3 linked regions of the Xenopus tropicalis genome follow. Each later gene encodes a partner of the first gene's protein in a complex. Links are inferred from orthologs where the notes say so. Each region holds a gene or a part of one and is shown on either strand. Other genes may lie near its edges.

Region 1 (3,321 bases):
CTGAGAATGAGCGAGGTCACCACTTCATCCAGTGCGGCATACACTCAGCCGCTGTCATCCAATGAGGTCAGTATGAGCCCTCCATTCAAAGATATTCACTGTACTACATGGTTAGGGGGCCACAGTATAATCACTTTTGAATCAACTATTAATATTATGAAAGTAATATTCTGAGACCATTTTCAATTGTTATTGTTCGTGGTTTTTAAATTATTTCGCTTTTTGTTCAGCAGCTATCTGGTTGCTAGGGTCCAAGTTAACCTAGCAACCAAGCAGTGAATTGAATTAGAGACTAGAATATGAATAGAAGAGGGTTGGAATAATGCAAGATGACTATAGTAATAAAATTGCAGCCTCACAGAGAACTTGGTGTCTAGGGCAACCTGGCTGAGGTGTCTAGTGCAGCCTGGCCGAGTTCCCTAGGGTGCCTGGCCGAGTTCCCTGGGGTGCCTGGCCGAGGTGTCTAGGGTGCCTGGCCGAGGTGTCTAGGGTGCCTGGCCGAGGTGTCTAGGGTGCCTGGCCGAGGTGTCTAGGGTGCCGGCTTGGCCCACCTCTGGGAGAGGCTGCTGACAACATAAATGATTAATTCAAAGGTGCAAGAGGTTATTATGCTCAGCTCCGCTTTTACTTTGCTTTTTTTCTGTTTAAGATCTTCAGGTCGCTCCCTACAGGCTACAATATCTCCAAACAAGTTCTGGATCAGTATCTGACCCTGCTAGCGGATGATCCGGTAAGTGACGCAGAGTGTCTGATGCTTACAAAGGGTTAAGATTAAAGGGAAACTATACCCCCAAACAATGTAAGTCTCTGTATATTAGTATGGGCAAAGTTACAGTTAGAGCTGCATCACTTCCTGTCAGCTGATCTCTTAGGGAGCACACAGCCCGTCACTAAATGGCGGCTCAAGGGGAAGGGTGTAAAAGGGCAAAATTTGCTGATATATATATTCCAGTTTGGCACTTGCAGGGCTTGGTTACACTCATGTATCCGTAGGTTGGGAGGGAAGCTTTTTTCCTTTGCACATATCCTGTTATGTACAAGATGAGTCTAATATCAGTGCTGTGCTTCCCTTTATCTCCCCCCCCCTCCCCACAGCTGGAGTATGTTGGACGGTCTGGTGACAGCGGCGGGGGGATGTTTGTCATCAGTATCCTTTATATGTCCGATCCCTTATTGGTTTGGGACTCTCTTCCCTCCCGCCCCTCTCTCTGTAAGATTCACCCTCCTCTTGTGCAGTTGGTCACTTAACCAGGACTTACAGATCTGCACAAAGCGGTCGCTTCCTTGGCCACAGCGACGCTGGAATCGCTCGTACAGGAGAGGCAAGAGAAGGGGCAGCGGTTTTGGGGGTGGGGCAAAATGGGGCAGGTGGGGCAAAATGGAGTCCTGCAGCAGGTCGGGTACCTGTGGGTTACAGTAGCTGGAAAGCGGGTACCCTACGGGATGTGGGTATAGATGGGGGTCAGGTTTCAGGTCTTATCCAATTTTTCTTATTATATTATCTATATTAGCTATATTTTACTCCTTTAAATTAGGGACGCACCAAATCCAGTTTTTTGGGTTCAGCCGAACCCACAAATCAATTGTATGGGATTCGTCCGAATACGGAACCGAATCTAAATCCTAATTGGCCGAATACCGAACCGAATCTAAATCCTAATTGGCCGAATACTGAACTGAATCTAAATCCTAATTAGCTGAATACCGAACCGAATCTAAATCCTAATTAGCCGAATACCGAACCGAATCTAAATCCTAATTAGCTGAATACCGAACCGAATCTAAATCCTAATTAGCTGAATACCGAACCGAATCTAAATCCTAATTAGCCGAATACCGAACCGAATCTAAATCCTAATTAGCTGAATACCGAACCGAATCTAAATCCTAATTAGCCGAATACCGAACCGAATCTAAATCCTAATTAGCTGAATACCGAACCGAATCTAAATCCTAATTAGCCGAATACCGAACCGAATCTAAATCCTAATTAGCTGAATACCGAACCGAATCTAAATCCTAATTAGCCGAATACCGAACCGAATCTAAATCCTAATTAGCCGAATACCGAACCGAATCTAAATCCTAATTAGCTGAATACCGAACCGAATCTAAATCCTAATTAGCCGAATACCGAACCGAATCTAAATCCTAATTAGCTGAATACCGAACCGAATCTAAATCCTAATTAGCCGAATACCGAACCGAATCCAAATCCTAATTAGGCAAATACCGAACCGAATCTAAATCCTAATTAGCTGAATACCGAACCGAATCTAAATCCTAATTAGCCGAATACCGAACCGAATCTAAATCCTAATTAGGCAAATACCGAACCGAATCTAAATCCTAATTAGCTGAATACCGAACCGAATCTAAATCCTAATTAGCTGATGCTAATGCTATGCTAATGGTTCTGCGCAGGACTCTACCCTAGGCGGCAGCTGGAAGCTACGTAGGAAGTATACGGATAATGGTAGGATACTTGTGATTTTCTGCCCTGCATCCTTGCATCAGATAGGGTCTTGCAGAGGTGCTGAGAGTTTTAGTTGCACAAGACCTGGAGGTGACTTATGCCTGACCCCCCCCCCCTTACTCTGTGCAGGTTCGGCTCGCGCTGCGCCAGAATTTTCCGCCTCCTCCTTCGCAAGAGGCACCTGGAGCAGAAGCAAGTGGAAGATTTTGCTATGGTTCCAGCCAAAGAGGCCAAGGAAATGCTGTACAAAATGCTCTCTCAGAATCTGGTGTCCCTGCAGGTCAGTACTGACTGTCAGCTAGCGCTGCCCCCCCCCCCCCCCAGTGTTTGTCGGAGTGGCCCAGCAGGAGACAGCCCAGGGATCTTATACGTGTTCTTTTATATGCAGGAGATTCCAAAGACACCAGATCATGCCCCTTCTAGAACATTCTACCTGTACACCGTCAACACCCTTCCCTGTGCTCGGATGTTACTTCAGAGATGTTACAAGGTACGAAAGACAAGGGGCTGTTCCTGCTGAATTGTGCTTAGTACAGGGGAATCCCTATGTGCCATAGTTTTATGGTATCTCTCTGTACAGGCTATGAGCAAACTTAGGGGGCTGTTCCTGCTGAATTGTGCTTAGTACAGGGGAATCCCTATGTGCCATAGTTTTATGGTATCTCTCTGTACAGGCTATGGGCAAACTTAGGGGGCTGTTCCTGCTGAATTGTGCTTAGTACAGGGGAATCCCTATGTGCCATAGTTTTATGGTATCTCTCTGTACAGGCTATGGGCAAACTTAGGGGGCTGTTCCTGCTGAATTGTGCTTAGTACAGGGGAATCCTTATGTGCCATAGTTTTAT
Region 2 (3,934 bases), on another chromosome or scaffold:
GACCCTACCATTTTTAAGAGCGGGGAGGGGGATGGACCGTACCATTTTTTTCGAGTGGGGGGGATGGATGTACAATTTTTTAGAGGGGGGTCGGACCGTACCATTTTATTTTGGGGGGTCGGACCCCCCCGCCCTCCAAAAAATGGTACGGTCCGACCCCCCCTCCAAAAATGGTACGGTCCGACCCTCCCCTCCAAAAAAATGGTACGATCCGACCCTCCCCTCCAAAAAATGATACGGTCCGATCCCCCCCCCTCAAATAAAATGGTACGGCCTGACACCCCCTCCAAAAAATGGTACTGTCCGACCCCCCCCAATAACATGGTACGGTCCGACCCCTCCCCCTCCAAAAAATGGTATGGTCCGACCCCCCCCTCCAAAAAATGGTACGGTCCAACCCCAACTCCAGAAAATAGTACGGTCTGACCCCCCCTCAAACAAAATGGTACGGACTGATCCCCTTTCCAATACAATGGTACGGCTCAACCTACTGTTCTTTGACTTCAGCTTTGTCATCTTCTTATTCTTAGCGCCCCCCATTTTCTAAATGCTACTCCTCCTACAGTTTTAGGGGTACAACACCCATCTCTCCACACTTCTTCGCCCTATAGCAGAGCAGGTTGATCCTGCCCCCCGTCTTTTTGTGGCGCCGCTCCGAACACCCCAATTTTCCCATTGACTTTAACAGGGAAGATTTTCAAATTGCTGCCACTCTTACAGCTTTGAAGCTGCATCCCCCAAACTTGAATAACATAATAATGGTGTCACCCCCGAATGAAACAGTGACATTTGTTGGATGACCTCAAAGTGGGAGGGGCCAACAACAGCCAATCAAATTTCATTCATTGACTTTTATGGGGAAATTGAAACTGCTGCCAATCTTACAGCTTTGAAGCTACACTCTCCAAACATGAATCACACCGTCATGGGGTCAGCCTGAATAAAAATATTATGATTGTTGGATGCCCAAAAGTGGGTGGAGCTGTGAACAGCCAATCAGATTTTACCTGTTGACTTGGAGGAAATTCAACACACCGGGGTCCCCAGAGTTATTGGTTTGATGCCAGAGTGCCCAAACTTTGCACAGTCAGTCACTGGGTGACTACGTACTCAAGGTTAGAAAAAGTGGGCGGGGCTGCCAAAAGCCAATCACATTTCTTTCATTGTTTTCAGTGGGGAAATATTAACTGCTGCCATTCTCACAGTATTATCCCCAGGGTCCCCAAACTTTTCACAGTTGGTCACTAGGGGACTGCAGTTAATTTTGAAAAAGTGGGTGGAGCCACCAACAGCCAATCATATTTCACCTATTGAATTTTATTGTTTTGATGTCAGGGTCCCCAAACTTTACATAGTTTGTCACTGGGTGACTATGTTCAAGTTTAGAACAGTGGGCGGGGCCAACAACAGCCAATCAGATTTCACCTATAGACTTCATATGTTTTAATATTAATACCCAAACTTTGCAAAGCAGAGCCACCAACAGCCAATCGATTTCCACCCATTAAATGTCATCCAATCAGATTTCATCCATTGAATTTTATTGGTTTAAATTTAAAATGCTGTCATTCTCACACTGTTTATGCCAGGGTGCCCACTGTTTGTCACTGGGTGACTTCAACTCAAGGTTAGAAAAAGTTGGCACACCCATCAACTACCAATCACAATTTACCTATTGACTTTTATTGGTTTAAATTTAAACTGCTGCCATTCTTTGACTATTAATTCTAGGGTCCCTAAACATTGCAGAGTTAGTCACTGGGTAACTGCAGTTCCAGGTTAGAAAAAGTGGGTGGAGCCACCAATCAGATGTCACTTGTTGACTTTCAGTCACTATTACAACCAGGGTCCCCAAACTTTGCACAGTGGTTTTTACTATGTGACTGTGGTCCAAGGTTAGAAAAAGTAGGCGCAGCCAACAACAGATCAGATTTCATTCAGTGAAAACCGTCAGTGACACGTTTTTCAACCCAACATGAAGTTTGTTCTCAAACTTCCCTTTCTAGTTTTTCATTTTGTTTCTCTTCCCATGCATTAGTAATGGCTGCCAAAGGGAGGGGAAGGGCTGCCTTTACATTTGACATCCAAGCAATTGGATTTTCAAGAGGTGAATCTTTGCCAGAGACTCAGCTAACACCACTGCCAATCTTTCCAGTAAGTAATCTTTGTATACAATAGAAAGAGTATAGCTTGCAGGGAAATGCTTTTTTAAATGGTTTCCTTCCACTGCCCTTTTATTTCAGTAATACAGAGTGGACATGGTCTATGGCAGTAGCTCCAAATCTAGCAATCTAGCAACCACTTAACAAAATTGTGTATCTTGGGCACTTGGAATGACTATACCACTCTCCTCACATATTTTTCAAACTTGTGTGGCTTTTAACACAAAATTACCTAAATGCTTCTCTTGAATATACCTTGAACCTTTATTTAGAGCGAAAGGCAGAAAACGTTTTTGTCTTGCTTTTAATTTACATGATTAATATGCGCCTAAATGAAATTTGTAAAATGAACAGTTATGACAAGAGGATGTAAAACCTCCAAAAAGCTGTAATTACCACAACAATTACACAGGCTATGAAAGCCCAAGTGGCTGGAAAACAGGCTAGCGACAGAGATGCCATACTGTTTGGAGGGCTCACACTAAGCTGGAAGCTGGAGAGCTCACTTAATTACAACCAGTTCCAATCTGCTGGCAGCACAGGCATTCCACAGGGGTAACTGTAGTACAGGTGTAGGATCTGTTATCCAGAATGCTCCGCACCTGGGGTTTTCTGGATAAGGGATCTTTTTGTAATTTGCATACCATACCTTATATATTCTAAAAAGTCATTTAAAGATTAATAAATGAAGTGGAATTGTTTTGACTCCAATAAGGATTCATTCTATCTTAATTAGGATCAATTACAGGGTACTCTTTTATTATTACAGAGAAAAAGGAAATAATTTAAAAGAAATGTTATTTTATCAATAAAATTGAGTCTATGGGAGTCTATGGGATGGCCTTCCTGTAATTCAGAGCTTTCTGGATAACATCCACCATCATGACGCTTTATACCAGACCTGAGTTTTTATTACATCACTAGTGTTTTTATTAACTGGAGGAAACAAATTCATGCAGGCCTCAACAGGCAAGGTAAGAGTTAAACCAAATAATTTTTGTCTGATATTTTTTTTCTTAGTCTACAGAATTCAAACCTGTACCTCTGAAAATAGGGGAGGATCAAGATTATATACTTGCATTAAAACAAGAAATGCGAAAAACTATGAAATGCCTTCCATACTATATGGGAGCAAAAGCTGACAAACAAAGTAGGTACTGTGTACGCATTGCATACTACTTAGCACCAGTAATGCATATAAAGAAAATTTCTAATGTGAGGTCATAGATACACAAAACTATATAGATGTGTATAAATACACAACATGAGAGTAAACTTAACCGCTTGGGTTCAACTGATAGAATCGAGCTGAGAGAAGGAAGAGCTGTTTTTACATAGATCTGGTTCCTGCTGTTTTGATTTACACTGTATTAGGAAGCCACTGAACTTATCACTGCCTGTAGACTCAAGCAACTATCCCCCATATGTATTAAAAGGCATTAAGTTTGCCCAGAAGCAATGTTTGCCCAGGTCTAGTTTCTCATAGCAACCAGATGTTTGTTTTCACAAACCAATAAAAATTGAAATAGGTTATTAGATCATTATCATCCTTTTCACCTTTTTATTAAATTAGCCCAATGAGATTATTTTAGGCCATTTTTAATGAAAACTTGAACTGGATAATTATAAAGAAGAAGGAAAGGTAGAATCACTAGGGGATACCAGGTTATTAGGCACCCCTCAAGAAATGTACCAGCTGTCTTAGTCCAGTGTATTTAAGTCACGTATATCTGGTGGACAAACTGCTCTCAGTCGACCAATCCTTTAAATAC
Region 3 (3,450 bases), on another chromosome or scaffold:
ATCCCTATAAAAGTCTACTCACCTGCAAGAATGAACAGGATGTGCCCATAGTAACATCCAGCATGACTTTGCCCAGCTTAAGCTGAACCTTGCCAGACTTGCGTACAAATAGCTTCCCAATATGGCCTTCTGACACATCCCGCAAGGTACAGCTGTCTTCTGCAGCCTTCGAGTCCTACAAGTAATTGAGAGGCAAGATTTAGAACTACTACCCGCTAACACCAGTGCATAAAAAAAGAATGTTTTGTTAACTGGAGTCCCCAGTGCAGACCTGAAAGTTTAGTGTTTGAACTGATGGAAGCAGAGGTGTGTCACTACAAGTTAAACATAAAGTACCTGTGCTGTGGAATATCGTGGTGCTATATAATGCATAATAATAGCCGAGATCAGGGGCGGGCCGAGCCGACCGGGCGCCCTAGGCAACCCGGTCGGCCACCTCGTCCCTGCACCTGTGCAGTAGCTTTATGTACCTGTCCTTTGTCCTTGACCAGTAACATATGGCCATCCTCACTCTGCACTTCAGTCTTTGTAGGCCTTGTCTCTAAACTTGGAGGCTGTCCAGGCAGAGTGTCAGGAAGTTGCACAAAAAAGAGACATTCTTCATCAGAAACCCTCAAAGATTCCAGCATCTCTGGGAAGGACACATCCTTGGTTACAGGGGGTTTCTTAACAATGGGAACTTTTGCAGAGGGCACCCCAGGCTTCCATGCACCAGCATCCTCCATTGGTTCTTCCTTTACTAGCAAGGGGAAGAGAAAGCATGTAGTGTAATGTGCATGTTGGCCCTTTAAAAGGCATATCAGCTTATTCAGATTGGTACTTTGAGCACTATACAATTAACATTAAACTTCTGTTTTTAATGGTTTTTTAGACTGCTAATACCAGGCTTTAAATTTAGCAACTATCTTTGAAGGTCAGAGTGTCAGCACTCCTGTCTGTGCACTTCCTATACATACATAAGCCTAGGGTTGCAGACTCTCAGTTAAGCCAAAAGCCTGGTATAAGTAGTTGGAAAATGCAAACATCTAAGAAACTGCTAAGATAAAAAATAACTATAAATTGCAAAAGTGCTCAGAGAAAAAGTAGTGCTAGAACCAGTATGATCTTCAATTTGTCATGAATTAATTTTAAGGTTTAATGAAAGTTTAATTTTCTCAGTAAATGTAGTCCAGTTCCATTACGGATGCTAGGTTTTTTGCTCTACATTGAGAACTTCTGCCATGGTATCTGGAGAGCTCTTTGTAAAGGAAAAGTGCAAAGACAGTTGTGTCTACAAAGGACATTACCTTTAACCTGAGAAGTATCATCTACTTCCATCTTTTCCTCTTTAAGTTGTCCTTGAATGGGCTTTATATCCTCCTCTTCATCCACTTGCCTAAAGAGCCAGCCAGAATGGGCAAGTGGGATCTGCACTGGATGGTTCTGAGAATCATTCCTGAGGCCAGGGTCATCAAGAAACTAAGAGGGAAAAAAAGACAAAAATTCTTATTCTCACTAACTTCTATGTACAACACATTTAACTACTATTTAAAAAAGTACTGTACTTTGTCTTTCATTTAAATTCTCCAGAGTAAACCATTTACCTTGTCATTTTCCAGCATGCGGAGGATCTCCTTCGTCTCCTCTTCAGTTTCTCGCTTCTCTCGTTTTATGTTAATGATGTGTGATGGGCCAAAGTCAGCAGATTCTGAAGGTCCATCCCATCCAACTATAATTTAAAGGGAGGGTACAGTCAGAACAGATGTAGATTGTACTTTTTGACACAGTTGCAAATTATGTGAAGAAGTCACTTTAGTTTAAAACAAGAAGATGAACCAAAAAGCAAACGCACCCCCAAAAAAAATATATTCAGCCATTTAGCCATTCTTGCTTGTTTCTTACATACAGGTAAGCCCAAGGGTAATAGGTCATAGCCTTAAATAATACACACACAGCAATGAGCTGTAAGGATTGTAAAGACAAATTCAATGCTCCACATTGCTGTTTCCTAAGTGTATTTATCTAGGGATGCACAGAACCCCAGATTTGGTTTGGAATCTGAACGTAATTACAGCCTTTTTTAATTTGAAATATCCGTCATGTATGGCTGAACCAAAACCAAGCCCATTATATCATATGACTGGACAATACTATTATACATCTGCTGTAAGTTTGGGGTGGGGCGAGGATTTTAACCATTAGAATATATAAAATAGGGTTTGCATTTTATTCAGGAATCTCTTGTAGTGGATTTGGTATTTGGCCAAATCTTAAAATTGTGGGTGTGGTGCATTCCTGTATGAGTCATCTGACCTGAAACACTAATGCTTTAAATGAGAATTGAAATGTAACCATTACCCCTTGCATCCCTCTGAGCTATAATCTGTGGCATTGCCACCCAGTGCTGGACACCCTGTAAGAGATCTTCAGTGGCGCCACACTCATAGGCAGTCTCCAACCCACTCCCCCCCAGCGCAATGCTGCCCTCAGCAGGGCAAGCGGTAGCAGGTGGCAACGTTTCTAGTGGCTGGGGAGGGGACCTATCATGCAGCATACAATTTATGCCTCTGGCTATAATGCATTAGGGTATCCCGTGTCTTCTAAATTGCACTATGTGCTGCTATGTGTTAAATACATTGCCATATATAAGGCAAAAATCTGCCTCACTTGAGTCGCAAACTGTCTTGTTAATTACTGTGACTGGTTCAGCTTTGTACCAAAAATGTTACATTCTGCTTTATGCCAATTATCTGGAGCTCCCAGTAAAAACCAGTTCCTTCCCATGCTTTACCTTTCTTCTTGAGCTGTTCAGCTGGTCCCTGCTCAAAGATGGAGTGACTCTGTATGACTTGTGGCTTCCCACGCCCTCTTCCTGCTCCATCTCGACGGTCCCTTCCACGCTCTGCACGTTCTACCTTAACAGACACTTCCTCCTTGGGCCTGGAAACAACACAAGGAATTGTGAAAAGAAAGTGGGGGAGACCAGAAAGAGAATGGACAGAATAGAAGCATGGGGATAAGACTACAGATAGATATAGAATAAAGCAAACGTAAAACTGTTATAAGTGAAGCATCACAAGAAAGTCAGAAAATAAAGGTGTAAAAATAGATACAGTAAAAAAAAAAAAAGAAGATAAATAGATGGGTACAACAAAGCAGGAAAGTTCCCTTTAGGTGCCATTTTCCTTACTCTTCTTTTATCTTTCTACTGATGATGTTGGGAGCAAATGTTTTCTGTAAGAGAAGAGATAGTGCAGGTCTTTAAGACATGTCAAAACTCTTATATTATTAGACATACAGAAAAAAAACGATAAAATGTATGTCCTTACAGCCTTCCCATACACTGATTAAATAACATGAAGTAGGATTTATACAAAATATCAGTGCAATTTGTATTGACCTACAATACAAGGGAGTCCGTTCTTGAAGATGAACTGATAGAGATGTTTGGCAAGAACACTAAAGGCTCAT

The links. Proteins that work in one complex are often made in the same cells at the same time.
Region 2: polr3c (region 1) and polr3g share a complex: the UniProt entries of both Homo sapiens proteins name them as parts of the RNA polymerase III complex. The link is inferred for Xenopus tropicalis from reciprocal best matches to the Homo sapiens genes POLR3C and POLR3G.
Region 3: polr3c (region 1) and polr3d share a complex: the UniProt entries of both Homo sapiens proteins name them as parts of the RNA polymerase III complex. The link is inferred for Xenopus tropicalis from reciprocal best matches to the Homo sapiens genes POLR3C and POLR3D.

Annotation. Positions count from the first base shown.
Region 1 is NC_030684.2:141,783,237-141,786,557, forward strand, and holds part of polr3c (DNA-directed RNA polymerase III subunit RPC3), read left to right. Parts: coding exon 1-66; intron 67-649; coding exon 650-730; intron 731-1,095; coding exon 1,096-1,147; intron 1,148-1,261; coding exon 1,262-1,322; intron 1,323-2,605; coding exon 2,606-2,756; intron 2,757-2,864; coding exon 2,865-2,966; intron 2,967-3,321. UniProt on the Homo sapiens protein: DNA-dependent RNA polymerase catalyzes the transcription of DNA into RNA using the four ribonucleoside triphosphates as substrates.
Region 2 is NC_030677.2:178,946,938-178,950,871, reverse strand, and holds part of polr3g (DNA-directed RNA polymerase III subunit RPC7), read left to right. Parts: intron 1-2,038; 5' UTR 2,039-2,040; coding exon 2,041-2,154; intron 2,155-3,182; coding exon 3,183-3,312; intron 3,313-3,934. UniProt on the Homo sapiens protein: DNA-dependent RNA polymerase catalyzes the transcription of DNA into RNA using the four ribonucleoside triphosphates as substrates.
Region 3 is NC_030679.2:129,694,172-129,697,621, reverse strand, and holds part of polr3d (DNA-directed RNA polymerase III subunit RPC4), read right to left. Parts: intron 3,214-3,450; coding exon 3,170-3,213; intron 2,920-3,169; coding exon 2,771-2,919; intron 1,709-2,770; coding exon 1,584-1,708; intron 1,459-1,583; coding exon 1,287-1,458; intron 740-1,286; coding exon 471-739; intron 176-470; coding exon 23-175; intron 1-22. UniProt on the Homo sapiens protein: DNA-dependent RNA polymerase catalyzes the transcription of DNA into RNA using the four ribonucleoside triphosphates as substrates.